Linked DNA regions of Anolis sagrei. The protein of the gene in region 4 interacts with the protein of the main gene of each other region in a biochemical or structural test. Links are inferred from orthologs where the notes say so. Each region holds a gene or a part of one and is shown on either strand. Other genes may lie near its edges.

What was found.
Region 1: the proteins of SNTA1 (region 4) and sodium channel protein type 4 subunit alpha interact in a test that uses a peptide from one of them, tested with the Homo sapiens proteins (2 studies listed by BioGRID and IntAct). The link is inferred for Anolis sagrei from reciprocal best matches to the Homo sapiens genes SNTA1 and SCN4A.
Region 2: the proteins of SNTA1 (region 4) and DGKZ form a complex in vitro, tested with the Homo sapiens proteins (2 studies listed by BioGRID and IntAct, with this or other methods). The link is inferred for Anolis sagrei from reciprocal best matches to the Homo sapiens genes SNTA1 and DGKZ.
Region 3: the proteins of SNTA1 (region 4) and ADRA1D interact in a test that uses a peptide from one of them, tested with the Homo sapiens proteins (2 studies listed by BioGRID and IntAct). The link is inferred for Anolis sagrei from reciprocal best matches to the Homo sapiens genes SNTA1 and ADRA1D.

The regions. Positions count from the first base shown.
Region 1 is NC_090026.1:48,522,498-48,529,970, reverse strand, and holds the start of sodium channel protein type 4 subunit alpha, read right to left. Parts: upstream 3,010-7,473; 5' UTR 2,855-3,009; intron 1-2,854. UniProt on the Homo sapiens protein: Pore-forming subunit of Nav1.4, a voltage-gated sodium (Nav) channel that directly mediates the depolarizing phase of action potentials in excitable membranes.
Region 2 is NC_090021.1:278,501,800-278,509,247, forward strand, and holds the start of DGKZ (diacylglycerol kinase zeta), read left to right. Parts: upstream 1-4,427; 5' UTR 4,428-4,442; coding exon 4,443-5,224; intron 5,225-7,448. UniProt on the Homo sapiens protein: Diacylglycerol kinase that converts diacylglycerol/DAG into phosphatidic acid/phosphatidate/PA and regulates the respective levels of these two bioactive lipids.
Region 3 is NC_090025.1:9,059,563-9,066,990, reverse strand, and holds the start of ADRA1D (alpha-1D adrenergic receptor), read left to right. Parts: upstream 1-4,424; 5' UTR 4,425-4,872; coding exon 4,873-5,830; intron 5,831-7,428. UniProt on the Homo sapiens protein: This alpha-adrenergic receptor mediates its effect through the influx of extracellular calcium.
Region 4 is NC_090024.1:208,951,791-208,959,228, reverse strand, and holds the start of SNTA1 (alpha-1-syntrophin), read left to right. Parts: upstream 1-4,438; 5' UTR 4,439-4,557; coding exon 4,558-4,846; intron 4,847-7,438. UniProt on the Homo sapiens protein: Adapter protein that binds to and probably organizes the subcellular localization of a variety of membrane proteins. May link various receptors to the actin cytoskeleton and the extracellular matrix via the dystrophin glycoprotein complex.

The DNA.
Region 1 (7,473 bases), on a different chromosome or scaffold from region 4:
ATAGCCAGGATTTCGATTCGGGGGGGGGGGGGGGGCTGAGTTTTTTTTCAGGGGGGTTTCGGGGGGGCTGAGTTTCGGGGGGGGGCTGAGTCTGAGTGAAAGAGGGTCTACCCTAGCAAACCTTTTGTATTGTTATTCCCAATACCCCAATGCATATGGGATATATTGAGTATGGTGATCAGATCATGATATGAATAAACATAACAGTTTAAATAATGCACCAGTAAGGCCTTTTCGCGAACCACCATGAGAATTTGGGGGGGGGGGGGGCTAAAGCCCCTCAAGCCCCCCCCCCCCCCCCCCCCCCGGCTACATGCCTGGCTCCTGTGCAACAACATCCTTACATACTTAAATAGCAGTCTAGAAGCTTGATTGATACAACCTCATTGCATGGGCTTTCAGCCCCATCCTATTATGCTGCCAAGACGTAGCCGGGATGGAGCTCACCAGAGCCCATCACATGACACAGGGCTATTTCCAGTGGTGCTTCATGCTGGCTTTGTGCCGGCAGTGTGGTAAGCGTGCGAAATATGCTGGCTCCATGCTCAGCAGCGTAATAATAATAATAATAATAATAATAATAATAATAATAATAATAATAATAATTTTATAATATTATAATAATAATAATTGCAAGAAAATCGCACAGATGGACTACAAACAAAGACACAACTCTGTGGCTCAGATGATTCACTGGAACGTATGTCACAAGTACCACCTGCCAGCAGCAAAAAACTGGTGGGATCATAAACCCTCAAAGGTCATGGAAAATGAACACGCAAAAATACTGTGGGACTTTCGAATCCAGACTGATAAGTTTTGGAACACAATACACCAGACATCACGATTGTGGAAAAGAAAAAAGTCTGGATTATTGATGTCGCCATACCGGGTCACAGTCGCATTGAGGAAAAACAACAGGAAAAACTCAGCCGCTATCAAGACCTCAAAATTGAACTGCAAAGGCTCTGGCATAAAGCACAGGTGGTCCCAGTGGTCAAAAAGATCTCTTCCAAAAGATCTCAGCCGGCATTTGGAAACAATAAACATGGACAAAATCATGATCTGTCAATTGCAAAAGGCCACCTTACTTGGATCTGCACGCATCATTCAAAAATACATCACACAGTCCTAGACGCTTGGGAAGTGTTTGACTTGTGATTTTGTGATATGAAATCCAGCATATAGATCTCGTTTGCTGTGACATACTGTGCTTTTGTGTCAGTAAAATAATAATAATAATAATAATAATCTTTATTTATACCCCGCCACCATCTCCCCAAAAGGGACTCAGAACAGCTTACATGCCCAGCGATACATTACAGCAACATAAAACAGCAAAATAACATCACAATAAAATAAACCAATCAAGTAAAATAAATAGTACAAAATAACATAATGAAAAATAAAAAGTGGTGGTCAAGAGAACATGGGGACAACATGGGAGCAAGCCACGGACAAATGGATTCCAGAGCAATTTCCACCAACAATTTACCCTGCTGCCCCATGGATTCACTACACTATCCCACAGATGCCTCCGCTGTCCCCCGGTTAAGGACCTCCATGTGACAAGGTCCTTAATCTTAACAGAGGCTATATTCTGAGCAACCACTTTGAAGCAAAGGTTGAGGGACCCCATCACATGGATAAGGTCCAGCGCCTTGATTCACCAGCCTCCGTTGCAAATCATGGTGGCAGCGCATATGGCAGCAGAGCAATCCCAACGACCCAGCCAGAAGCAGTTTCCTCATCCCACATGGGGAAGAGTCTCTCCCTCCATCAAAGCTCTATTGTTTCTTAAGAAACATAGGATGGCTTCTGTTTTGGCATCCCACCATGGTGCCACTCAAATTCACTCACAAAGCCCTACTGCAGTAGTTCTCAACCTGGGGGTCGGGACCCCTGGGGGGGTCAAGAGGGGGTTTCAGAGGGGTCGCCAAAGACCATCCAAAAATGTATTTTCTGTTGGTCATAGGGGTTCCATGTGGGAAGTTTGGCCCAGTTCTATCGTTGGTAGGGATCAGAATGGTCTTTTATTGTAGGTGAACTATAAATCCCAGCAACTAAAACTCTCAAATGCCAAGGTCTATTTTCCCCAAACTCCACCAGTGTTCATTCACATTGGGCATGTTGAGTATTCATGGCAAGTTTGGTCCAGATCCATCATTGTTTGAGTCCACAGTGCTCTCTGGATCTAGGTGAACTACAACTCCAAAACTCAAGGTCAATGCCCACCAAACCCTTCCAGTATTTTCTGTTGGTCACGGGAGTTCTGTGTGGCAAGATTGGTTCAGTTCCATTGTTGGTGATCATAATGCTCTTTGATTGTAGGTAAACTATAAATCCCAGCAACTACAACTCCCAAATGACAACATCAATCCCCTGCCAACCCCACCAGTATTCAAATTGGGGCATATCACGTATTTGTGCCAAATTTGGTCCAGTGAATAAAAATACATCCTGCATATCAGATATTTATATTATGATTAATAACAGTAGCAAAATTGTAGTTGTGAAGTAGCAACAAAAATAATATTATGATTGGGGGTCACCACAACATGAGGAACTGTATTAAGGGGTCACAGCATTAGAAAGGTTGAGAACCACTGCCCTACTGGAGGTCACCCTATGTTATTTGATGGGCAGCATAGGGCTCCATAGATGCTTCAATTGTTCCATGAGATAAGACTGAAAGTCTCTTCTTTTCCAATTACCCATTCCTAGATTTCAAGTACCAGTGTATTACTGTTCTCTAACCTCTGATTTTGTAGGCTCACTCCAGAATTCTATAACAAATTATGCTTTACTCACCGTGCATTGTGGAATACAGTACAATATTGACAGTTTCACTTACCCACACTCCAAAAACAATTTCCCTTAGAAGTATTTGTGGGCTCCTCTAAATCCTCCAATAACGGGTTCTCTATTATCCACAGTTTAACTATCCATGGTGGAACCTTGGAACGTATCCCCCACAGATGCAGGGGTTGTACTGTAATTAATGTCAAAATCATGTATGTTTTTAGTATAGTGTAAATATATATCAGTTACACTATAACTCGGTTACACTATAACTCAGTTATGCAACTGTTCCAATGGCCCTGAGCTCTATGGTTGTACAACTGTCACTCAGTTCCACTCCGGCCAAGTCAAAAGTGAGAGAGAGAGCTGAACACTTGCACAACAACTGACTGAAGAAGCAAAACAGCTTGTGAAACTCTTTTTACCTTGGACAAATCATACTTTCTCCGTCTCAGAGGAAAGTAAAGGCAACCCACCCTCTGAACAAATCTTGCCATAAGTCAGAAACAGCTTGGAGGCACATAACAACAACATCAGTGTTCAGCACAATTCTTATTTATTTACTTTACTTTACTTTACTTTACTTTACTTTACTTTACTTTTATACCGCTGTTCTCAACCCGAAGGCGACTCACGGCAGTTCACAACAATAAGAACAGCAAAAATTCAATGCTACAGTATAAAAAACAGTTAACAACCTAACACATTACACAATTAATAAACAATTACTACAATAACCATTCACTATCGTCAAATCATCAAAAACATAATCCAGATTCGTCATCCATTGTTCCATTCCTATGTTCATTACCAATCATTGCACTGATTACTTGAACGCCTGCTCAAACAGCCAGGTCTTCACGTTTTTGCGGAATACCATTAGAGATGGTGCTAGTCTAATGTCCGAGGGAAGAGCGTTCCACAGCCGAGGAGCCACCTCCGAGAAGGCCCTATCTCTCATCCCCGCCAGCTGTGCTTGAGAAGCAGGCGGGATCGAGAGCATGGCCTACCCGGAAGATCTCAAAGTCCTGGTGGGTTCATAGGCAGAGATGCGGTCGGATAGGTAGCTTCTAGCTAATATTTCAACTGAAAAGGATCCAGGCCACAGAATAAGCAACAGTCATGTTTATGTTGTTGTTTAGAGCCCCCCGTGGCGTAGTGGGTTAAACCGCTGAGCTGCTGAACTTGTTGACCGATAGGTCACAGGTTCAAATCTGGGGAGCGGCGTGAGCTTCTGCTGTCAGCCCCATCTTCTGCCAACCTAGCAGTTCAAAAACATGCAAATGTGAGTAGATCAATAGGTACCGCCCCGGCGGAAAGGTAACGGCACTCCATGCAGTCATGTTGGCTACATAATCTTGGAGGTGTCTATGGACAACAGCGGCTCTTCGGCTTAGAAATTGAGATGAGAACCAACCCCCAGAGTTGGACATGACTGGACTTAATGTCAGGGGAAAACCTTTACCATTACCCATGTTGTTGTTTATTCGTTCAGTCATTTCTGACTCTTCGTGACATCCTGGACCAGCCCACACCAAAGTTCCTTTTCGGCCATGGCCACTTCCAGTTCCTTCAAATTCAAGCCAGTCATGTCAAGGATACAATCCATCCATCTTGCCCTTGGCCTGCCCCTCTTCCGTTTTCCTTCCTTTCCCCCAGCATCATTGTCTTCTCCAAGCTTTCCTGTCTTCTCATTATGTGACAAAAGTACTTCATCTTTGCCTCTAATATCCTTCCCTCCAGTGAGCAGTTGGGCTTTATTTCCTGGAGTATGGACTGGTTTGATCTTCTTGCGCTCCAAGGCTCTCTCAAAACAGTTATGCAAATACCAAAACGAAGTGTTAAGGGCATCACATTTGAATCTTCCTAATGGACCATTGTTCCAATTTGTTTCTTCCTAATCCAACTGTCCTACTGCTGTTTTAGATGGCATCGTTCTCATTCTATTGTCTACATTTTAACTCTTTTTAAATTTATTATTGACAACATTTATATGCCGCTCTTCTCACCTGGAAGGGGACTCAGAGCGGCTTACAAGATATATATATATATACACACACACACACATATATATACACAATATATTATATTATTAGCATAGTACAATATCAATATTATATATTATTATATTGTTCTATATCATTATATTGTTATATTATTGTTGTTGTTGTTGTTCATTCGTTCAGTCGTCCCCGACTCTTCGTGACCTCATGGACCAGCCCACGCCAGAGCTCCCTGTCGGCCGTCACCACCCCCAGCTCCTTCAAGGTCAGTCCAGTTGCTTCAAGGATGCCATCCATCCATCTTGCCCTTGGTCAGCCCCTCTTCCTTTTGCCTTCCACTTTCCCCAGCATAATTGTCTTCTCTAGGCTTTGCTGTCTCCTCATGATGTGGCCAAAGTACTTCAACTTTGCCTCTAGTATCCTTCCCTCCAATGAGCAGTCGGGCTTTATTTCCTGGAGGATGGACTGGTTGGATCTTCTCGCAGTCCAAGGCACTCTCAGAACTTTCCTCCAACACCACAGTTCAAAAGCACCTATCTTCCTTCGCTCAGCCTTCCCTAAGGTCCAGCTCTCACATCCGTAGGTTACTACAGGGAATATCATGTTATATTATTAGTAATTATAATTATAATATTGTATTATTAGTAGTATTATATTGTATTACATTATAATATTATAAATATTATATATATATACAATATATGATATTATTAGTAAAGCACAGGAAAAAGGAAGAGGGACCGATCAAGGGCAAGATGGGTGGATGGTATCCTTGAAGTGACTGGATTGACCTTGAAGGAGCTGGGGGTGGTGATGGCCGACAGGGAGCTCTGGCTTGGGCTGGTCCATGAGGTCACGAAGAGTCGGAAATGACTGAACGAATGAACAACAACAAAAGCACAGGAGACAAGATGGAACTGTCTTCTGCCCCCTTTTCTCTTCACTTTGGCCAGAGCAGCAGTTGGTGCCAGAGAGGGGAGGCCTCCCAACTGATGATATAGGCAGGAGACAAGATGGAACTGTCTTCTGCCTTCCTTTCTCTTCACTCTTATTAGTGCATTCCTGGCTCTATCTTCACTACCGTCTCTTCGAGGACCAGAAGTTTTATGCTCTTTTATGCAGTAGGTCAAGTATTGAAATAGCTGCATCACCAGTCACCACACAGAACAAATATTCTTGATCTGATTCACTTCCACTCTGTGGCCTTGCATTTATTGTAAGCTGCATAGTGTAAATTTCTTTGAAGGGTGCAGTATAAATAACTTTAAAGAAATATGCAAATCAGTCATGGTGTGTACAATGCATGTCATGAAGGGTCATAATTCTGGCATAATAAAACATCATATGCACTAGACTGGGCTTCTGCATGCAGCCATCCCCTCACCTCCTTCTTTTGTTGAAGCAAGTAAGCAAAGCATGTCCGAAATATGATTTATTGATTTATTAGTTTGCTTTATTCGATTCCTTACCTCTGTACTCACTAGTACCCCTGCAGCAATGCACAATTGATAAAAACACTTTGAAAACATGAAATAATTTTTTAAATCCATTATAAGCAGTCCAAATTCCTCTTTAAAATCCAGCTAACACCAGCAAACAGTTTCAAAAAATGTGGAGCACCCGGTGGCACAGTGGGTTAAACCCCTGTGCTGGCAGTACTGAAGACCGACAGGTCACAGTTTCAAATCCTGGGAGAGCGCGGATGAGCTCCCTCTGTCAGCTCCAGCTCCCCATGCGGAGACATGAGAGAAGCCTCCCTAAAAGGATGGTAAAACATCAAAAATATGTGGGTGTTCCCTGGACAACGTCCTTACAGATGGCCAATTCTCTCATACCAGAAGCGTCTTGCAGTTTCTGAAATCACTCCTGACATGGGGAAAAAAGAGTTCTGGCCAAGGTGGTCCACGCCTTAGTCACCTCTAGACTGGATTACTGCAATGCACTCTACATGGGGCTGCCCTTGAAAACAGCCCGGAAATTTCAGATGATCCAACGGGCGGCAGCCAGGTTGTTAACTGGGGCTCCTTACAGGGAGCGGTCAACCCTCCTGTTCAAGGAGCTCCACTGGCTGCCATTCATCCACCGGACCCAATTCAAGGTGCAGGTTCTTACCTACAAAGCCCTGAATGGTTTGGGACCCGCCTACCTGCGTGATCGCATCTCTGTATACAAACCCACACGATCCCTTCGATCATCCGGGGAGGCCCTGCTCTCGATCCCACCAGCATCGCAGACGCGATTGGTGGGGATGAGAGAGAGGGCCTTTTTGGTGGTGGCCCCTCAACTCTGGAACTCACTCCCTAAAGACATCAGACAGGCTCCAACTTTGGCAGTCTTCAGGAGGAACTTGAAGACGTGGCTGTTCCAGTGTGCCCGGAATAATGACCCCATAGCACTTTGTCCTCCAAAGCACTTTACATTTCTTTAAGTGTGCTTGTATGCCCTTCCACAAACACCAGTATCACCTTCTGTTCATGTCCCAGCATTATTTCCAATTTTAACTTAACATTTGGCCTTCCCACTGTTTTTAACTATGTGTTGTTTTATTGATAATGTTGTTTCTTATTGTCTATGTATTTTAATAGCTTGTATTGTTGTTATTATTGCTTGTATTGTTGTGTTTGGGCTCGGCCTCATGTAAGCCGCACCGAGTCCCTTGGGGTGATGG
Region 2 (7,448 bases), on a different chromosome or scaffold from region 4:
ATGACCTTGGAGGGCCGCATCCGGCCCTCGGGCCTTAGTTTGAGGACCCCTGATCTAGAGAATTATAACTGCAACATATACTCCTCTGCTGTCACAATTGATCAATTAGCAGAACATCTGATTTGGCTTTTCTCCCAGTGCTGCATGTTTCTCAACTGATACTGAGATTAATCCTATACAAATGTCTTTTTGGGGATGGTTAGAATTACTTCGGGGTTGGTGTGTGGTTTGTTCTCTGCACGCTGCCATAAAACAGAAGGGCCTTAAGAGAAGAAGGATAAGAACAGGAGTCTGTATTGGCTGGTCTGTTGTTCCAATGAAGCAAGAAAATTGTGGGGCCTTATCTGGAATGGATGAATGGAATATATGAGTAAGGTGTGATTTGTGTCCCCCAGGAAGAGAGCTTCAGGCATCCATTATTACCCTTTTGAAGTATCAGGGCCATTGTGGCTGAAAATCAGAGCTCACACCCCCTCATCTTGCCATCTGTTAGCATATAGATTGTTGTCAGTTTTTTTTTATTTTTGATACTCCTCTAATTTTATGATGTTATTTTCTTATTTTGTATATTGTTTGCAGTGAGCTACAGTGAATCCTCTTGAATGGCTTTAGCGTGTGTATCCTTCACACTTGGATAATTAACTGAAAAGTTTTCCTTTTCCCATCCCACATTTCCTTTTCTGTTCTCCCCAAGATCAGCTTTCCGTTCACCTCCTGCTTTAATGGATCACACATTTTGGGAACCTTTAAGTGGGATTATTGGTTTGGAACCAAAAGATTCCTATAGCTAAACTCATTTCCTCACATGTTCTCTCAGAAGTTTCATTGACTGCAACAAGGTAAATGTATATTCCAATGGTCCTTAACTTGTGGGACTCCAGATGTTTTGGCCTTCAACTCCCAGAAATCCTAACAGCTGGTAAACTGGCTGGGATTTCTTGGAGTTGTAGGCCAAAACACCAAGGGACCCACAGGTTGAGAGCCACTGGGGTATAGTAATGAATTTGGGATCCATGGCTCCTGTATTCAAAATGCGCTTCTATTGATTTTTGCTTATATTTGGCAGAGAGAATGCAGTGATTTGATCAGAAAAATCTTCTGCATAGTCACTCAAAGCATTTCTAATTAAGAAGATTCCACCTTGGATTAATTGACAGTGCTTTGCAGCCAGACATTTGCAGTACATCAGTTTCCTCTCCCTGAAATTCATACGGTACATTATTCCATACTAACTTTTAAATATGTTCTTAATAGACACAGATAGGGGGCAGCATTGCTTTATTCATTACTAAAAGCGACAAAACTTGGAAAGTCACATTTTGCCAGCAACATGTAGTGTAAATGCCGAGAAGCTGAACATTCACCCCATATCTCCCACTTATTGAAGAAATTGAAGAAATGGCTTTCACAAATACTTTTGAGTCACAAACACCATTTTATTTATTGTTCCCTCTGGTGCAGAAGCTTTTTTCAATTGTCCACAGTTCAGTTAGGTGATCCCTTGTTATCTGAGTATGATGGCCTTCTAAATTCAGTGTCTTGGCGGTGGATACGTAGGGAACTGTGGAGCCCTATTTTTGACCTACATGTTTTGCAAAAGTGAGGACATCGGTTTCCAGATGGAAGGTGGCCCCAGTCAGGGTTGGCTTGACGCACCTTCCTCTTGGTACGTTTCTCCCTTTTGCCCTCCATTCGTGCCTCTTCAGATTCCGCAGCACTGCTGGTCACAGCTGACCTTCAGCTAGAGCACTCAAGGGCCAGAGCTTGCCAGTTCTTGGTGTCTATGCCACAGTTTTCAAGGTTATCTTCAAGCCCAACTTTAAATCTCTTTTCCTATCCACCAACATTCTGTTTTCCATTCTTGAGTTGGGAGTATAGTAACTGCTTTGGGAGATGGTGATTGGGCATTCGGACAACGTGGAGTTGATGGCATAGGAACATCATTTCAATGCTGGTGGTCTTTGCTTCTTCCAGCACACTGACATTTGTCTGCCTGTCTTCCCAATAGATTTGCAGGATTTTTCAGAGGCAATGCTGATGGAATTGTTAAGCGTGACATCTGTAGGCAGTCCACGTTTCACAGGATTGTCCACAATATCTGTGCACAAGATCCAGTCCCATTCCCCTAATGTTTTATTATACAGTATACTGAGGAATCTACAAATGTTTCACATGTTAGCCACTGTTTCTTTGTTGCAGAAAGTGAACTCTGGCTTCTTCATTTCCTGCTCCAGCAAAGTAATGCAAGGACACTCTCTACTCACCACCCAGTAAGGGACTTTTACAAGGAAGTGTGTATAATTGCAGGAATCCCTTCCTTACCGATTATTCCACAGGCCCAGCATCCTATTGGACATGGAGCCTTACCTCATTTTGAAAGAGGTATTCTCTTTCCCTCTGCTGCCCAGTATCTATTCCATGCCTTCCAACATTTAACAGATGAAATCTGGGACACAAGTGGCAATCAACCATCAATGTGTGGTCAAGATAGCAAAAGTTAGTAATGAGGAAGATCAGGCAAACTAGGAGAGACTGTTGCAGTGTGCTTTTGTCTGAACCTCCAGAAGAGGTCAAGATTCTGCCACCTCCAATAATAGTAGTAATAATAGTAGTAAGATTTTTTTGGTGTCAGGAGTGACTTGAATAGTAGTAAGATTTTTTTTGTGTCATGAGTGACTTGGCACAAAAAAAGAGGGCCAATTCTCTCACAGTAGTCGTCGCAATAATAGTTGTTGTTGTAGTAGTAATAGTAATAATAATAATAATGTATATATTGCTTTATTTCTCTAAAAAGAAACCCACAACTGCTAACAACACTAAGATCAATACAACAATCCTCTTATCACTTTCCCATTTGAAGGAAAATTAAGCATCTTAGGTCTGGCTCTGCCTCTTACCTGTGTGCTGCAATCTCTGTTTTGCCTGGTGGAACAGAGACTCACGCTATGTACACCTCCCCAATAGCACCCTCACATTCGGAAGGCAGCAGGCTTCAAACTCGTGAATAATTGAAACTATGAATGTAAAACCGGTGAAAATTGAGGGCCAACTGTGTTGTCTATCTATTGTTATAGTGAAGTGATTAACAAAAGAGCTTAATAACAAGCACTCAAATATATTTTAGACACTGCAATAACAGCATCCTACTGGCATCCAAAACAAGCATGTGAGAAATGTTGTCTGTGGGCTTTTAAATCATCTAGGCATGCGTTCCATGTTGACACAAGCCAAGGTCTTGACTCAAGTGATAATGCCTGGGTTTTTGCACATGTGTGCTTACAGTCAGGGGCAGGGTATTCTAGGAAGCAATGTGTTGCTTGCTGTATTTGTTTATGTGTGATCGCTGAGAGCCAGCATAGTGTAATGCAGTGTTACTTAACCTGTGGGCCTACAACTCCCAGAAATCTCAGCCAGTTTACCAGCTGTTAGGATTTCTGGGAGTTGAAGGCCAAAACATCTGGGGACCCATAGGTTGAGAACCACTGGTGTAATGGTTTGAGCTTTGGACTATGACTCTGGAGAACAGTGTTGAAATCAAGTTTGGTCCAGGTTCGTCACCCGTGCTGGTCACAGTGGCCTATGAAAGTGAGAGCCAATCAGAAAGCTGCCAAATTAATCTCCCACACATACAGAAATACATACAAACACTGACTTTTATTATAGACTAGTTTGGGGACCCGGCGCTGCCTGGGTTATTTGAGAAAGGCATTGTGTGGCAAAGGTGTTCTTTATCAGTTAGTGAAGGTACTGTGAATCCCATCGAGCATGGTCCATCCTCCTCCAAACAGCCCCTGAATGTAGAGTGGGTTATGGTAGCTCTGTGTGCCAAGTTCGATCTTACTCTGTCATTGGTGAGGGTCACAGTGATCTCATGAAGTGTGTGAAGGTACTGCAGGTCCCATCATCCATGGTGAATCCTCCTTCATACCACAACAGGATGTAGAGTGGATCATGGGGGCTGCAGTGTTCTGTGGAAACCGAAGGGTTGGAAAGTACTACACATCCCATCATCCATTGTCTGTCCTCCCCCAAACCTCACCAGGAACTAAAGGGGGTCATGGGGGTTATGTGTGCCAAGTTTGGTCTTCATCGGATGAGGGTCGCAGTGGTCTTGGGAAATGTGTGGAGGTACTTGAAGTCCCATTATCCATGATTCGCCCTCCTCCAAACTACAGTAGGAAGTAGATTGGGTCATGGGGGCTCTGTGTGCCAAGTTTGGCCTTTATTGGTCTTTGTTGGGAGCCACAGTGGTCTCTGGAAACCGAAGGAGTTGAAAGTACTACAAATCCATCATCCTTTGCAGTCCACATCGTAAGTGAGAGAACATATTTGTTATAATTAAGGGAGTAGGAAGGAGAAAGATAGAATAAAAAGAAAAAGAAAAGACCCGGAAAAAAGAAGAAAAAAATAACAATAGGAATAAAAATAAAAAGTCTTCTTTCATGTCCCCACATGGGAAGCTGGAGCTGACAGAGGGAGCTCAACCCGCTTCTCCCTGGATTCGATCCTGCCAGCACAAGGGTGTAACCCATTGGGGGCACCAGGGGCTCCTGCCCATGCCTGCTCTGCTGTTTTTCCCAGCCTCTCTGTCCCGACTCTTCAACCGGGCTCCTTGCATGCAGTACGCGCTTGCGGCCGGCAGGTGGCGCGGGCGGCTTGCTTTTTCCGGCGCCTCTTTCCTTCCTGCCTGCCTGCCTTCTTTGCTTGGGCGCCGTTGCGAGGAGGCAGCTCCCCGGACAGCTAAGCGGGGTCCTCGGGCGCTTGCTGGCTGGCTGGCTTGCTTACCTTGGTGCCTGCTGACACTTCCTGCGCGGCTCAGTCGGCGGAGGAGGCTCGCCGGGGATGTGTGTCCCGCCGCCGCGCCTCCCCCACCGGCGACCGTTGAGGCTCCTGAGGCGGGTGGCCCATGGGCCCCGGAGGGCGGAGGGGGAAGGGGAAGGGGAGGCTGGCCCTGGGCCCGCGGAGGGCATCATGACTCCGGCCAGGTGAGAGCGGGGCGGATGGAGCCCCCGGAGAGCGGCTTTGGCGGCGGGGCTGCTGCTCCTTCTGCTGCTGCTGCTCCTGCTGGAGGCGCCTCCTCGTCCTCCGCCGCCTCCGCCACCTGCCCCAGCTCCCCGTCCTCGGCCAGCTCCGAGACCTCCTTGTGCCCCGAGCCGGAGAGAGCGCCCGCCTTGGGAAGGAGGCACAGCAAGAAGCGCTTCGGGCTCAAGATCTTCGGGAGGAGGTGAGCCCAGCAGGGAGAGGCGGCGTGGCCATCTGCCGGGAGTGCTCTCCCCACAGGCCGCCACGGGAGTTGTAGGCTTGCAGGATCTTTCCTGTAAAAAGACAGGATGCATCTACGCCAGGAATAGGCAAACTTCGACTCTCCAAGTGTTTAGGACTTCAGTCCCCACACAGAGAGGCGGAGATGGCCATCTGTCAGGAGTGCTTTGCTTGTGAGTTCCACTCCCCACAGGTGGTGGCAGGAATTGTTGTATTCCAGGATCTTAAAAAAAACCCCACAGGAATAGGTTAACTTCGGCTCTCCCGGTGTTTAGAACTTCTGTCCCCGCACAGAGGCGGGATGGCCATCTGTCAGGAGTGCTTTGCTTGTGTGTTCCACTCCCCACAGGTGGCCACAGGAATTGTAGTCTTGCAGAATCTTTCTTTTAAAACTCAGTATGCATCTAACACCAGGAATAGGCAAACTTCGGGTCCCCAGGTGTTTTGGACTTCCAACTCCTACACAGAGAGGAGGGATGGCCATCTGCCGGGAGTGCTTTGCTTGTGCGTTCCACTCACCACAGGCGGCCACAAGAGTTATAGTTTGGCAGCGTCTTTTTTAAAAAAAACACAGGATGTATCTACACCAGGAATAGGCAAACTTCGGCTCTCCAGGTGTTTTGGACTTCAGTTCCCAAACAGAGAGGCAGGATGGCCATCTGTCAGGAGTGCTTTGGTTGTGAGATCCACTCCCCATAGGTGGCCACAGGAGTTGTAGTCTTGCAGGGTCTTTTTAAAAAACACACACACAGGATGCACCTACACCAGGAATAGGCAAACTTCAGCTCTCCAGGTGTTTTGGACTGCAACTCCCACACAGACAGGCGGGATGACTATCCCTCGGGAGTGCTTTGCTTGTGCGTTCCACTCTCCACAGGCGGCCACAGGAGTTGTAGTCTTGCAGGATCTTAAAAAAAAAAAAACAGGATGCATCTACACCAGGAATAGGCAAACTTCGGCTCTCCAGGTGTTTTGGACCTCAACTCCCACAATTCCTAACATCTCCCCTAATATTATAATATATTGTGTACACATATAATATTGAAAATAATATCATACAATATAATGCTGATAATAATACAGTATAATAATTATATATGTTAATATTATTACAGTACAGTAGTATAGTACAATATAGTAATATATAATACTAATATTGTGCTGTGCTAATAATGTAATATATTGTATGTACATATTACTTGTAAGCCGCTCTGAGTCCCCTTTGGGGTGAGAAGGGCGGCATATAAATGTTGAAAGTAAATAAATAAATAATCCTCCATCATTGACCATGCTGGCCGAGGCCTCCTGAGTGTTGAAGTCCAAAATATTTTGAGAGAGAGGGAAAAAAAGGACTTTTATTCTCCAAATCTTTCGGACTTTGGCACTTGGGGGCCTCGGCCAGCACTGTGGGAGATGTAGTCTGTACTCTTTGCAGAGCCAAAGATTTGCCACCCAAGATTTGCCACCCAATCCTAGAGAGAACTCAAAGGTGGAGAAGTAGGTGCTGTGAGTTCTGTTTTGCCAAACAGCAGAAGGGAGGCTCCCCAAAGCAAAATAATACACTGGAGTGTGAAGAGATGCTGTCCACGTGTTCCTTAAGACTGTCCATAAAATTGTATACAGAATATATAAGAACTATATTTACATTACATGTGAGAAATGAAATCTTGCGAACTGAATATTGTACACTGTTATTTTATTGTACCTCAGAGCTCTTTTGTGGTCCACCCTGCACATCATCAAGCCTTGGGAAATGGAGCAGGAAATCATTGTTACTCTAAAGGATTCACAATCTTGTCTGTAATCACAACATGGCTTCTAAGCCAGTGGTAACAGATGTCGGGCTTGTGGGGCTTTGTAATTTCATTGTTTTTGCCATGTAGAACTGGGTTAGGGAATAAATTGAAACACTTATTTTCATTGGCAGTCCTTTCACATGCGTACACAGGCCCGGCATTGCTGGCTATTTGCAATAGGAAGTCTTGCGATATTGTCTGGTCTGGGCATATTTCACAAATTTACACAAGAACTCAAATTATATCAACATGTGAAGAGAAGCAGGAAGTTCTCACGGACCCCATATGTGTTGCTTTTGGGACTATTTTACCAGGCCAACATGGCTACTGATACAAATAATAATCATAATAATCCCAGGTGACAGCAAAATTGACGAGAAGCAACTTGAA
Region 3 (7,428 bases), on a different chromosome or scaffold from region 4:
AGTATGCTCCCTGTATGATGCTCCGGTGAGTAATCTGGCTCCCGCCCGCTGGACTAATTGAAGTTTCCGAACAGTCTTCAAAGGCAACCCCACGTAGAGTGCGTTGCAGTTATCTAGAGAATGAATCCACTTTAAACCCTCCTCATGTCTTCCCTCCTCCATCGGAGGTCTGATCTTCGTCAGACAATGCTTGCAAAACAAAAACACCTGCAATTAAAAAAAATAGTTCTCCAAAATAGTCTACGTGCCAAGTCATGTTAAGAGGGAAAACACCTGCAGTTTAAAAGGGAATTCCCTGAAATGAAAGGCTTTAGGAAGGCAGGCATCCTCTGATCATAGGATTCTTGTTGTTGCTGTGTGTCTTACGGTGACCCTATTAGAAGAGGTTTCTTGGAAGAACAGGTCCAGAGGGGGTTTGTTTGCTTTTGCTTTCCTCCAAAGCTGGGAGAAAGGTGGCTTATTTATTATTGTTATTATTATTGTGTTGTCAAAGCCAATGGGATGTTGGACTGCAATGTTTTAAATTGTTTTTAACTTACCGGGATTGTGGCGCAGCTGGCTGAGTGTCAGCTGCATTAAAAGATCACTCTGACCAAAAGGTCATGAGTTCGCAGCCAGCCCAGGTTGGAGTGGGTTTCTAACCAATTGTGTGTAGCCTGTTGTCAACCTTTGCAACCCGAAAGACAGTTGCATCTGTCAAGTAGGAAAATTAGGTACCACATTAAAGTGTGGGGAGGCTAAATTAACTAATTTATGAGGCCATAGAGAAGACTCCAGCAAAGCATTCCAGCGGGGAAGCATGCAAGGAATGCGGAAGTACTTTATCAGCGTCGCAGATGGACGATGAAAGCGACAGCTCCAGCAGTCAGAAAAAGTTAAATAGCCTCTGTCTATGTCTGTATATGTCTGTATGTCAAAAATCGGCATTGAATGTTTGCCATATATGTGTAGACTGTAATCCACCCTGAGTCCCCTGTGGGGTGAGAAGGGCGGAATATAAAAGCTGTAATTAAATAAATAAATAAATAAATAAATATTATTTACTGTTTTAAATTGTTATTATATCTGTTATAATTGTTTTGTATGTTGTGGCATCGAATTTTTGCCTGTGTAAACCGCTCTGAGCCCGCCCCGCCCCCTCAGGGGTTGAGAAGGGTAGGGTAGAAATGTTGGAAATAATAAATAAATAAATAGGAATGTAGTGTCTATATCCAGGGAAGTCACACTATTCTTCTTTGGTCGGACCACACCTGGAATCACACTGTGTCCAATTCTGGCCACCACAATTGAAGGGAGAGGTTGACTCTAAGCTGGAATGTGTCCAGAGGAATTTGACTCCAAGAATCAAGGGTCTGGAGAACAAGCCCGATGAGGAGCAGCTTAAAAAGCTGGGCATGTTTAGCCTGAAGAAGAGAAGGCTGAGAGGAGATATGATAGCCATGTATATGTGGGGGGAAGTCATAGGGAGGAGGGAGAAAGCTTGTTTACTGCTGCCCTGGAGACTAAGATGTGGAACACTGGATTCAGACTACAGGAAAGGAGATTCCATCTGAACTTGAGGAAGAAATTTCTAAGGGTGAGAGCTGTTCAGCAGTGGAACTCCCTGCCCCAGGCTCCTCCTTTGGAGGCTTTTAAACAGAGGCTGGATAGCCATCTGTTGGAGGTGCTTTGAACGCGATTGTCCTGCTTCTTGGCAGAGAGTTGGACTGGATGGCCCTTTTCCAACTCTATGATTATATGAAAGCTAATCCTATGATGGATGGATGGATGGATGGATGGATGGTATCCTTGAAGAAGGAGCTGGGGGTGGTGACGACCAACAGGGACCTCTGGCGTGGGCTGGTCTGAAGGAAACGACTGAACGAATGAACAACAACAATCCTATCTCAATACACCTAAGTTTCTGTTGATTATGAACTGCACTTTAGGCACTCTAATTAGATGGATGGATGGATGGATGGATGGATAGATAGATAGATAGATAGATAGATAGATAGATAGCAGAGATAGACAGACAGACAGACAGATAGATAGCAGAGGTAGATAGATAGATAGATAGATAGATAGATAGATAGGTAGGTAGGTAGGTAGGTAGCAGAGACAGATAGACAGGCAGGCAGGCAGGCAGACAGATAGATAGCAGAGGTAGATAGATAGATAGATAGATAGATAGATAGATAGATAGATAGATAGATAGATAGATAGATAGATGATAGATCGATAGATCGATAGATAGATGGCAGAGACAGACAGACAGACAGGCAGATAGATAGCAGAGGTAGATAGATAGATAGATAGATAGATAGATAGATAGATAGATAGATAGCAGAGATAGACAGACAGATAGATAGCAGAGATGGATAGATAGATAGATAGATAGATAGATAGATAGCAGAGATAGATAGCAGAGATAGATAGCAGAGACAGAAAGATAGATAGCAGAGATGGATAGATAGATAGATAGATAGATAGATAGATAGATAGATAGATAGCAGAGATAGATAGCAGAGACAGAAAGATAGATAGCAGAGATGGATAGATAGATAGATAGATAGATAGCAGAGATAGATAGCAGAGATAGACAGACAGATAGATAGCAGAGATGGATAGATAGATAGATAGATAGATAGATAGATAGATAGATAGATAGCAGAGATAGACAGACAGATAGATAGCAGAGATGGATAGATAGATAGATAGATAGATAGATAGATAGATAGCAGAGATAGACAGACAGATAGATAGCAGAGATGGATAGATAGATAGATAGATAGATAGATAGATAGATAGATAGATAGCAGAGATAGATAGCAGAGATAGACAGACAGATAGATAGCAGAGATGGATAGATAGATAGATAGATAGATAGCAGAGATAGACAGACAGATAGATAGCAGAGATGGATAGATAGATAGATAGATAGATAGATAGATAGATAGATAGATAGATAGCAGAGATAGATAGCAGAGATAGATAGCAGAGACAGAAAGATAGATAGCAGAGATGGATAGATAGCAGAGATAGATAGATAGATAGATAGATAGATAGATAGCAGAGTGCCTTAAGCATATATATTGTGGAATCACCCCAAATGATTCCAAATGAGCATTATTTTGAGTCTAATAGCTCCTCTTCCCAACATTATTTGCCCAAGGTCACCAAATGCGCCTCTCTAAGCCGGGCGGGGGATTCGATCCCTAGTCCTGGTTGAACCTGAAGTCTACTCCAGTCCTACAAGAGCCGGTTCATTAGGATTCGAGATGCGAAAAGATGACCAAGCGAGTAGTAAGTCTGCGAGGCCAAGAGCAGCCCTGCCTTTTGCTGTCCCCTAGCGGCTTCGGTGCGCTCAGCGGAGGCGCTGGAAATCCTTCAATGAATCTATTTTGGGCAGCAGCTCCAGCCTCCCCCTCCTCCTCCTCCCCCTCCTCCTCCTCCGCCTCCCCTCCCCTTTTGACCCAGAACGTGTTTCCTCCCCCCTTCTCTTCCCTCCCCTTCCCCCCACCCCAAACGCCAGGCGGCTTCTTCCCCTCTCCATCCACTTGGTTGGGCATCTTGGCAACTGCAGGGCGCAGAGTCTGTTGCAGGGGGTCCCTCTTTGCCTGCGTCTCCTCCCAATTGGGGGGCCGCTGAGAGCCAGAGAAGGAGCGTGTCCCCATCCTCTCCCTTTGGGCTTCCTGTTTCCGTGCACAGCGAGCCCCCCAAAGGTGTATCCATCCAGCCCTCCATCCCGCAAGAGCGCCTCCTCCTCCTCCACCACCGCACTCCGCCTCCTGAATGCAAAGTTTCTTCTTCTCCGCGCCTGGAAGGATTGCGACTTTTCTGCCTTTCCTTTCCTGTGTCGGAGGCAGCGCCGTGGGGCAGTGAAGGCTGGTCTCCCTCCTCCAGGATTGCATGGCAGGCTGAGTCGCAAGGAAAGCGGTTTTTTCTCCAGTGGGGATGCTCTTCCTTCTCCTCCTCTTCTTCCTCCGTGCGCCCCGCTTGGCGCATCCCTTTGGATCCCGGTGGAAGTGACGCCTCCTCCCCAATCCTCTCCCTCATCTTCTCTGGATGAAGGCACAAGGAAGAAGAAGAAGTCAGTCCTTCCTCTCCAGAAATCCTCTTTCTTGCTACCTTGAGCTTCCCTCTCACTTTTTACCTGCTCTGGTTGAGATGAGCCACCTTTCTGCTTGAGGGAATTTGGTACCCAACATTTGGAGAGGCGCAAAGAAGAGAGAAAGAAAGAAAGGGGGAGAAGGTTGTTTTCCTTCTTCGTTGCGGGTGTTTCCTTCCCTCCCCCGCACGAGTGGGCATCTAGACCATTTTGCGAGTTGTTGTGATTGCAGGAATTGGCTGAAGAGGACCTTGGATGGAAGAGGAAGCAGGGGCGGAGGAGCCCAAGACATAGGAGGGGAGCTCCTTCCTTCCTTCCTTCCTTCCTCCCTCCCTCCCTCCCTCCCTTCCTTCCTTCCTTCCTTCCTTCTCTTTCTCTCCCCTCCTTGCTTCACAAACCGGGGTCCCTCTGTGGTAGGGAAGATGGGCTCCTCGAGATCCAGCAGCTTGGCAAGGGAAGCCACTTGCCCCTGGGGATTTAAGGAGGGAAAAGAAGGATGAAGGTGTCTTTTACTGAAGGGCATCCCTGGTAGGTTTAGATTTGCAGAGTCTGGAGAATCTTGATCCAGAGTTGCAGAAGAAGGGAGATCGGGACAAGTTGGGAAGAGACTTTCCTCCTGACAGCATGCACCTCAGAAGAGGAATGGGTTCAGTTCCTGATGCGAGACTGGGAGTTTGGGGTGAGTGAAAGCCCATGCCTATGCCCTTCTTCTCCTCTGTCCCTCTGCCACGCTGAGCCATCCCACGTCCCACCCCATGGAGACCGGACCTTGTTGAAAAAGAATGACTTTCTCTGACCGGATTAATGCCAGCTTGAATGGGAACCACTCGGGAGAGGCTGGGGGTATTAATGGGACCGGCGGAGAGGAAGATGTCCAGGCCAACAACGGCACCTCCTTGGCTCTGAAGCTGACCCTCCAGTCGGTGAGTGTAGGGGTCTTTCTGGCCCTCTTCGTCCTCTCGGCCATTGTGGGCAACATTTTGGTCATCCTCTCCGTGGCCTGCAACCGTCACTTGCAGACGGTCACCAACTACTTCATCATCAACTTGGCCATCGCCGACTTGCTCCTCAGCACCACCGTCCTGCCTTTCTCAGCCACCTTGGAAGTTCTGGAGGACCTCTGGGTCTTTGGGCGCATCTTCTGCGACATCTGGGCAGCGGTGGATGTCTTGTGCTGCACGGCCTCCATCATGAGCCTCTGCATCATCTCCGTGGATCGGTACATCGGGGTCAAGTACTCTCTGAAATACCCCACCATTATGACTGAGAAGAAGGCGGTGATCATCATGGTGGCCGTCTGGATCTCCTCCATGGTCATCTCCATCGGTCCCCTTCTGGGATGGAAGGAGGCACCTCCTGAGAACGACCAGCACTGCAACATCACGGAAGAGCCAGGGTATGCCATCTTTTCCTCCCTCTTCTCCTTCTATTTGCCCCTGGCCGTCATCCTGGTGATGTACTTCAACATCTATGTGGTGGCACGGAGGACCACCAAGAGCTTGGAGGCCGGGGTCAAAAAAGAGAGGAGCAAATCCATGGAGGTCGTGCTCCGGATCCACTGCCGCAGCGTTGTGGAGGACTCCCAGGCCAGCACCAAGAACAAGGGACACACTTTCCGGAGTTCCCTCTCCGTGCGACTCTTGAAGTTCTCCCGGGAGAAGAAGGCCGCCAAAACCCTCGCAATCGTGGTCGGGGTCTTCATTCTCTGCTGGCTGCCTTTCTTTTTCGTACTGTCTTTTGGTGAGTGGACAGTTGATATTCTCATGCTTTGTTTCTCATCTGTGCCATTAAGTGCTATCATTCTATTTTTATTACTTTATCACAGTGTGGAGGATAAAGCTTGGAGCTTGTGTAACTCCTCTAACATTCAGACTATTGCCCAGAATGGGTATGCTGGCAGTCATTCATCCATAGAGGATCACTCTGTCAATGTGAAATGTTGATTCTGGTCTCAGTATAACTGAGATTATAGCCCAAGAGTTTGGATAGTTCCGTTACTGTTCAATACCAAAACTTAGAGTGGAGTTCTCTGCAATTGTCAAACTGTAGAGTCGTGTTTCTCAACCTTCCTAATGCCATGGCCACTTAATACAGTTCCTCATTTTGTGGTGGCCTCCAACTATAAAATTATTTTGTTGATACTTCATAAGTGTAATTTTGCCACTGTGATGTAATCGTAATGTAAATATCTGATATGCAGGATGTATTTTCATTCACTGGACCAAGTTTGGCACAAATACCCAATATGCCCAAATTTGAATACTGGTGGGGTTGTGGGTGGATTGATTTTGTCATTTGGGAGTTGTAGTTACTGGGATTCATAGTTCACAAAAGAGCATTCTGAACTCCACCAATTTGGAATTGAACCAAACTTGGCACACAGAACTCCCATGACCAATGGAAAATACTGGAAGGGATCAGTGGGCATTGAGCTTGAGTTTGGGAGTTATAGTTCACCTACATCCAGACAGCATTGTGGACTCAAACAATGATGAATCTGGGCCACACTTGGCATGAATACTCAATATGCCCAAATGTAAACACTGGTGGAGGTTTGGGGGAAATAGACCTTGACATTTGGGAATTGTAGTTGCTGGGATTTATAGTTCACCTACAATCAAAGAGCATTCTGAACCCTAGAATTGGGCCAAACACATAGAACCCCATGCCTTGAAGGGACTTGCTGTCACGTCCTCCCTCCAGCCTCGCATGCTCTCTCTCACCCATATATGCGTACCGTGCTGCCATGCGTTGAACCCTACTAACTATAGAATTGGACCAAACTTCCCACACAGAACCCCCATGACCAACAGAAAATACCGTTTTCTGATTATCTTTGGCGACCCCTCTGACACCCCCTCATGACCCCCTCCCAGGGGTCCCAATCCTCAGGTTGAGAAACGCTGACCTAGAGGATGTGCCCATATCACCTTGGTGCCTTTTAGCCAAATATTCTATTGCAGTTTTGGCACTCTAGTTGAAGGAAAGGAATAGCTGTAGTTCCTTCCAAAGTAATTGTGAATGTCATTATTTGCGTGGTTGTTGGTGATTTTGAAGTCAGTGAGGGGATGCTTGTGCTTTGGATTTCATTTCAAACTTGAAAGGGAACTATACGTGCTGTTTATCCCTAAAATAGGTTCAATTCTCTTTTCGAGTTTGGATTGAAACTCAGGGCAGGTTCACCATTCCTCATTGATGCCACCAGCTTCACCCACATGACTCTGAAGGGACATGACGTTAAGAGAACTATTTATTTTTCTTCTTTGGAAATATGTGTGTCCTGCTGAGAAGCTGATGGTTCTCAGGATGGTGCACAGTGTGTCTTTTAGACAGATTTC
Region 4 (7,438 bases):
ACAAAAACATCAAAAATCATCCAGGCGTCCCCTGGGCAACGTCCTTGCAGATGGCCAATTCTCTCACACCAGAAGCGACTTGCAGTTTCTCAAGTCCCTCCTGACACGACAAAAAAAATACTAATTGGTAATAATAATTAGTCCCCTGGTAGCGCAGAGGGTTAAATCACTGAGCTGCTGAACTTGCTGACCGAAAGGCTGGTGGTTCGAATCTGGAGAGCGGGGTGAGCTCCCGCTGATAGGCCCAGCTTCTGTCAACCTTGCAGTTCAAAAACATGCAAATGTGGGAAGGTAGCTTGTGCTCCATGCAGTCATGCTGGCCACATGACCTAGGAGGTGTCTATGAGCAATGCCAGTTCTTTGGCTTAGAAATGGAGATGAGCACCCCCTAGTCAAACACGACTAGACTTAATGTCAGGGGAAACTTTTACCTTTACTTCACTATACTAAGCTCTCCAAATTTTCAAGATAATGAGGAAAATACATTTTCAAACTCAAATGGGGAGTTCCAGCTGTAAAATGTCATGGAAGCTGCTTGCTCTTAACATTTGTTATTGGCACAACAAAGAGCTACTATTAAGGTTAGTGACAAACAACAAGTGTACCTATTTTCCTCTGACAAATGCATCTGCCTGTGGCAGGCCATTCAAGGAGGGAAACAGAACAATCCACAGGGAATGTAATGTCGAAGGCTTCCATGGCTGGAATCACTGGGTTGTTGTAGGTTTTTCGGGATATATGGCCATGTTCTAGAAAAACCTACAACAACCCAGATCCACAGGGAGTTTTCTCCTAGCGGAGGACAGACCTTCTTGTGGTAATTCAGACCATGTTTACACTGCCCAGTAACATTATGTTTTTGGGAGTGGTGTACAGAAAGAAAAATAAAACCACAGAAATATTTCCTGAAGTGCAAAACATTCTAAACACGGAATCTAAACAATAGCAGCAACAGAAGCACCCACCGTCTATACAAGTCAAAAGAATTCTTGAAAAGGATTGTTTTCATTTTATCAAGACTTTTCAGTGTTTGAGCTCTGTTAGAAGGGCCTTTTCCTCTCTTGCTGATCAATATGTTGTGGAAAGATATGGGGGTGGGGGGTGGGGGAGCACCTCAATTGTGGAATGCCCTTCTTTTGGAGGACCAATGAAGGCTTCATTTCAGCACAATGTCAACCATGGCTGTTTATTAGTACCTTTGGAGCCATGTTGATTTATTTCTAACACATTCAAGCCCATAGCTAGAACGTTTTAGTATTTTAAATCTATTTTTGACTCGTTGAAAGTGTTGAATATATATTTTAGTCTGTTTAAATGAGGACTCTTGTTTTAAAGAGTTTTAAAATTGGTGTAACGCAGGCAAACCTATGCCCTCCAGTTGTTTTGGACTTCACCTTCCACAATTCCTAACAGCCTCAGGCTTTAGTGGCTGAGGGGAAAAGGAAAGGGCCCGAGGCTGTTAGGAATTGTGGGAGTTGAAGTCCAAAACACCTGGAGGGCCCAAGTTGGCCCATGTCTGGTTGAACGTGTGTATCACTCTGAGATGTTATAGGGCAAAATAAAGTTGCCCCTCATCATATTGGGTTTTTTAAAAGACTGTTTGAATTAGGTTCATTGATTTGAAGAGTTTTAAATTGATTTGACTTGTGTGCCACCAGGAGATCTTACAGGGCAGTATATATTTGTGGGTTTCTTTTGTGTGGATTTGATTATTATTTGTGAGTTTTTAGCTCTGCCACCTTGCCCCTCTCTGCCTGCCTTGTTTGGGGCCATTTCAGGCCCCTGGGCATCTCCAAAGGCGACGCAATGGGTTAAACCCTTGTGTCAGTAGGACTGCTGACTGAAATGTCAGTGGTTTAAATCCAGGGAGCTTCCATCTATCAGCTCCAGCTTTTCATGCAGGGACATGAGAGAAGCCTTCCACAGGATAGTAAAACATCTGGGCGTCTCCTGAGCAATGTCACACCAGAAATGAAAAAAAAATCTCCAAATCTCCAAAGGTCAAGCAGACAGATCCCTACTCTTCCACCAGATATCTTGGCTGCATCTATTCCACCTGTCAAATTCAAGGCCCAAAGGCCTAACTATTTTATGTGACCCTCTTCCAGATGGACTACAATTACTGCATCCCTCATCCCTCATTTAAACATGACTAGGCCTGATGGGAATTGGGACACAGTAAAATTGGGAGGCTGCACTTTGTTCTGTTTAGTCAGGACAGTAGAGTTTGAATTTAGCTCTTGCTCCTGCCAACCTATCAGTTCAAAAATATGCAAATGTGAATAGATCAATAGGTATCGCTTTGACGGGAAGGTAATAAAGGCGTCCATGCAGCCATGCCAGCAACAAAACTAGGTGGTGTCTATAAACAACAGGCTACTCAGCTTGGAAATGGAATAAAAGTAACTCCCTGTGGTCAGCATTGAACGCTGCTTCCCAAAACTGGAGATGAAAGGGAAAGCCTGTAAAATAGTTCAAGAATTCTGGAAAAAGGTGGTGAAAGAAACAAACAATATGATTAACAAAAAGGTCAAGGAAAACCCAGAAATGTGGTTAGTAGGACTATTTAGAAGGTGTATTTGCACAAGAAATGAAGAAATTTATCAATATTGCTTTGTTGCTGTGAGACTAATAATAGCTAAAACATGGAAGGGTGGAAAAAGAGTTCGCTATCAAAGATTGGAGAGATAAATTAGTAGATTCTATCCAAATGGCCAAGCTGACAAATAGTAGCAGAGGAAGAAATAATGAAGGATTTGCAAACAAATGGAGGCTGGCACTTGGACATCAGGAAAAGAAGACAAAGGTAGATTTGAAGATTTCCACAAAGAGATTTTATGAAAGAAGACATATGGGTAGTTGCTGGGTAGTTATGTGATCCACATTGAGGGGCGTCAGACACCATGGGGGTTGGATTCACGGATGTGGGGTTAGATGGATAAGAAATGGGGTTAGATGGATAAGAATGCTCTTTGATTGTATGTGAACTATAAATCCCAGCAACTACAAACGTCAAGGTCTATTTTCCTCAAACAACACCAGTGTTCACATTTGGGCATATCGAGTATTTGTGCCAAGTTTGGTCCAGATCCATCATTGTTTGAGTCCACAGTGCTCTCTGGATATAGGTGAATTATAACTCCAGAACTCAAGATCAATGGCCCACCAAACCCTTTCAGTACTTTCTGTTGGTAGAGGGAGTTCTGTGTGCCAAGTTTGGCACAATTCCATCGTTGGTGGAGTTCAGAATGCTCTTTGATTGTAGGTGAACTATAAATCCCAGCAACTACAACTCCCAAATGTCAACATCTATTTTCTTCAAACAACACCAGTGTTCACATTTGGACATATTGAGTATTCATGCCAAGTTTGGTCCAGATCCACCATTGTTTGAGTCCACAGTGCTCTCTGAGTGTAGGTGAACAACAACTCCAAAATTCAAGGTCAATGGCCCACCAAACCCTTCCAGTATTTTATGTTTGTCATGGGAGTCACTGTGCCAAGTTTGGCCCAATTCCATCGTTGGTGGAGTTTAGAATGCTCTTTGGTTGCAGGTGAACTATAAATCCCAGCAAGTACAACTCCCAAATGTCATGGTCTATTTTCCTCAAACAACACCAGTGTTCACATTTGGACATATCGAGTATTTGTGCCAAGTTTGGTCCAGATCCATCATTGTTTGAGTCCACAGTGCTCTCTGGATGTAGGTGAACTACAACTCCAAAACTCAAGGCCAATGGCCCATAATAATAATAATAATAATAATAATAATAATAATAATACTTTATTTATACCCCGCTACCATCTCTCCATGGGACTCGGTGCGGCTTACATGAGGCTGAGCCCGTAATACATCAATACAAGCAATAACAGACACAATACAAGGCCCACCAAACCCTTCCAGTACTTTCTGTTGGAAGAGGGAGTTCTGTGTGCCAAATTTGGTTCAATTCCATCCTTGGTGGAGTTCAGAATGCTCTTTGGTTGTAGGTGAACTATAAATCCCAGCAACTACAACTCCCAAATGACAAAATCAATCCTCCCCCATCCCAGTGGTATTCATATTTGGGCGTACCAGGTGCCAGATTTGGTCCAGTGAATGAAAATACACCCTACATCTCAGATATTCACATTATGATTCATAACAGTAGGAAAATGACAATTATAATGTGATGTTTGGGGGTCAGCACAACCTGAGGAACTGTGTTGAGGGGTCGCGGGGCATTAGGAAGGCTGAGCAACACGATGCCGTTTGTCACCCCTGGCACTGCTTTACTTAGCTCGACGCTGTGGCATCAGGGCAGTTGTCATTGGGCGAGACCTTGCCCAAGTGCGGCTCCCGGGATTCCAGGGCATGGAGCCTTAGCAGTGCAAAGCGGTGCCAACCCGCGTTGGTTCCTCGGTGTGGAGGCGCGGGGCGGGAGGCGCCGGGGGCGTTGCTCGGTGGGCGGAGAGGCGGAGAGGCGGCGGGGCTGGAGCCGGAGTCCGTCCACCGAAGGCAGAGCGAGGAAGCAAGGAAGGAAGGAAGGGAGAGAGGGAGGAAGGAATGCGCTGAAGATGGCGGCCGGGCGGCGGGCGCCCAAGAGCGGCTTGCTGGAGCTGCGGGCGCCGGGCGAGCAGTGGTTGCGGGTCCTGCTGGCTCTTTCCGAAGACTTCTTGAGCGTCAGTCCCGGCGGAGGAGGAGGAGGAGCGGGGAAAGGGCCCGAGGAGACGCCGCCGTCCAGCCCCGGGCAACTGAATGGCGGGGACCCGCCGCCCGCCCTGGTCCCGGACGCCCTCACCAACATTAAGCGCACCGTCCGGATCGTCAAGCAGGACGTGGGCGGCCTTGGCATCAGCATCAAAGGTGGGTCTCCTTCTCCTCCTCTTCTTTTCTGGGGCTCCCCGAGAGGTCGCTCTCTGCCCGTTCTCCCCCTTGATCGCCTAGCTAACCTTTCACCCTCTGGAGCCCCTTTTAAACCTGCTTTCTTTAGTTTAGCCCCTTGCCAACGGGATCCGGACTAAGTTTGTTTCCTTCCCAGCTGCGCCAGGAAAGCGCTGGAGGAGAAGTCCCCCCTTGGAAGAAGTTCCCGAGAAGAGAAGGAAAGGGGGAATTGCCCTTGAGAACATGGGAAAGTGAATTTTCCAGGCTATGTTCCAGAAGCATTCTCTCCTGACGTTTCGCCCACTTCTGTGGCAGGCATCCTCAGAGGTTGTGACGTTGAAACGTCAGGAGAGAATGCCTCTGGAACATGGCTTTACAGCACGGAAAACTCACAACAAGCCAGTTGTGAGGTCTGTTGGAAACTAAGCAAGTGGGGTTTATATAGCTCTGGAATGTCCAGAGTAGGAGAAAGAACTCTTGTGTGTATTGCCAAGGCTTTCATGGCCGGAATCACTGGGTTGTAGGTTTTTCAGGCTGTATGGCCATGTTCTAGAAGCATTCCATCTGATCATTAGGAAGAACTTCCTGACTGTGAGAGCAGTTCAGCAGTGGAACTCTCTACCTCAGAGTGTGGTTGAGGCTCCTTCTTTGGAAGCTTTTAAACAGAGGCTTGATGGCCATCAGTCAGGGGTGCTTTGAATGCAATTTTCCTGGTTCTTGGAAGGGGGTTGGACTGGATGGCCCATGAGGTCTACTCCAACGCTATGATTCTATTAATGATTCTAGATCATGGCCATACAGCCCGAAAAACCTACAACAACCCAACTCTTGTCTGTTTGAGGCATTTGTGAATGTTGCAGTTGGCAAACTTGATTAGCCCTGAATAGCTTGGAAGCTTCAAGGCCTGGCTGTTTCCTGCTTGGGGGGATCCTATGTTAGGAGGTGTTAATATCAATCAAGCTGGCCAATTACAACATTCACACTTGCCTCAAACAGACAAGAGTTGCTTCTCCCACCCTGGACATTCCACAGATATATACAACCTCACCTAGTTTCCTCACAATCTCTGAGGATGCCTGCCATAGATGTGGGTGAAACATCAGGAGAGAATGCTTCTGGAACATGGCCATACAGCCTGAAAAACCTACAACAACCCAACTCTTGTCTATTTGAGGCAAGTGTGAATGTTGCAATTGGCTACCTTGATTAGCATTGAATAGCCTAGAAGCTTCAAGGCCTGGCAGTTTCCTGTCTGGGAGGATCCTATATTGGGAGGTGTTAATACTAATCAAGCTGGCCATTTGCAACATTCACATCTGCCTCAGACAAAAATTCTTTCCCACCCTGGACATTCCACAGATAAATAAACCCCACTTGCCTAGTTTCCAACAGACCCCTCAACCTCTGAGGATGCCTGCCATAGATTTGAGCAAAACGTCAGGAGAGAATGCTTCTGGAACATGGCCATACAGTTCCAGAAAACTCACAGCAACCCAATTGTGAGGTCTGTTGGAAACTAGGCAATTTGGGTTTATATAGCTCTGGAATAATATCCAGGGTGGGAGAAAGAACTCTTGTCTGAGGCAAGTGTGAATGTCGTACTTGGCCAGTTTGATTAGCATTGAATAGCCTGACAGCTTCAAGGCCTGGATGTTTCCTGCCTGGGGGGATCCTATGTTGAGAAGTATTAATACCAATCAAGCTGGCCAATTGCAGCAGACAAGAGCTCTTTCTCCCACCCTGGATATTCCACAGATATATAAACCTAGTTGCCTAGTTTCCTCACAACCTCTGAAGATTCCTGCCATAGATGTGGGTGAAATGTCAGGAGAGAATGCTTCTGGAACATGGATATACAACCCAGAAAACTCACAGCAACCCAGTGATTCTGACCATGAAAGCCTGCGTCAACACCATGGAGGTGTCTAGAGACAATACTGGCTCTTCGGCTTAGAAATGGAGATGAGCACCAACCCCAGAGTCAGACACGACTGGACTTAATGTCAGGAGAAAACATTTACTCAAAGCAGCCAAAGAGGAAGCTAAGGACCTTTTTGAAAACTGCAACCCCCGGAATTCCATAGCATTGAGCCTTGGCAGTTAAGGTGGTGTCAAGCTGCTTGCAGTGTTGATTCCCCCTTGGAAGGCCTTGCCTTCCTTCACCCTTCCTGCCCATCCCAGGCATCCCAAGCACTTGCCATATGCCTCTTTCTCAGGCAAAGGGTGTTGCTTGAGCTTCCCACCCAAGGAATGGTGCTGGGTAGGGATGTTCAGGCTTCCCTGCGGATGTGGGATTGCAGTGACATTTCCACCCAGAAAGTGCACCTGTGGATTCCGATTTGTGTGAACCCATTCTTGAGTGTGTCTTCTTCAATCTGAACTGTGATTTCATTACAAAATGTACTGTCACTGCCACTTATATATAGAAATCATGTTTTGTAGAATATATATAAAATTAATATATAAAAATAATAATGATTATATATATATCTTACTCCTTTGGAACCACATACAATCAAATCTCAGGTTCTTAGTTGTGGTTTTATAGTGTGCCTTCTGAAGGTTAAAAAGGTC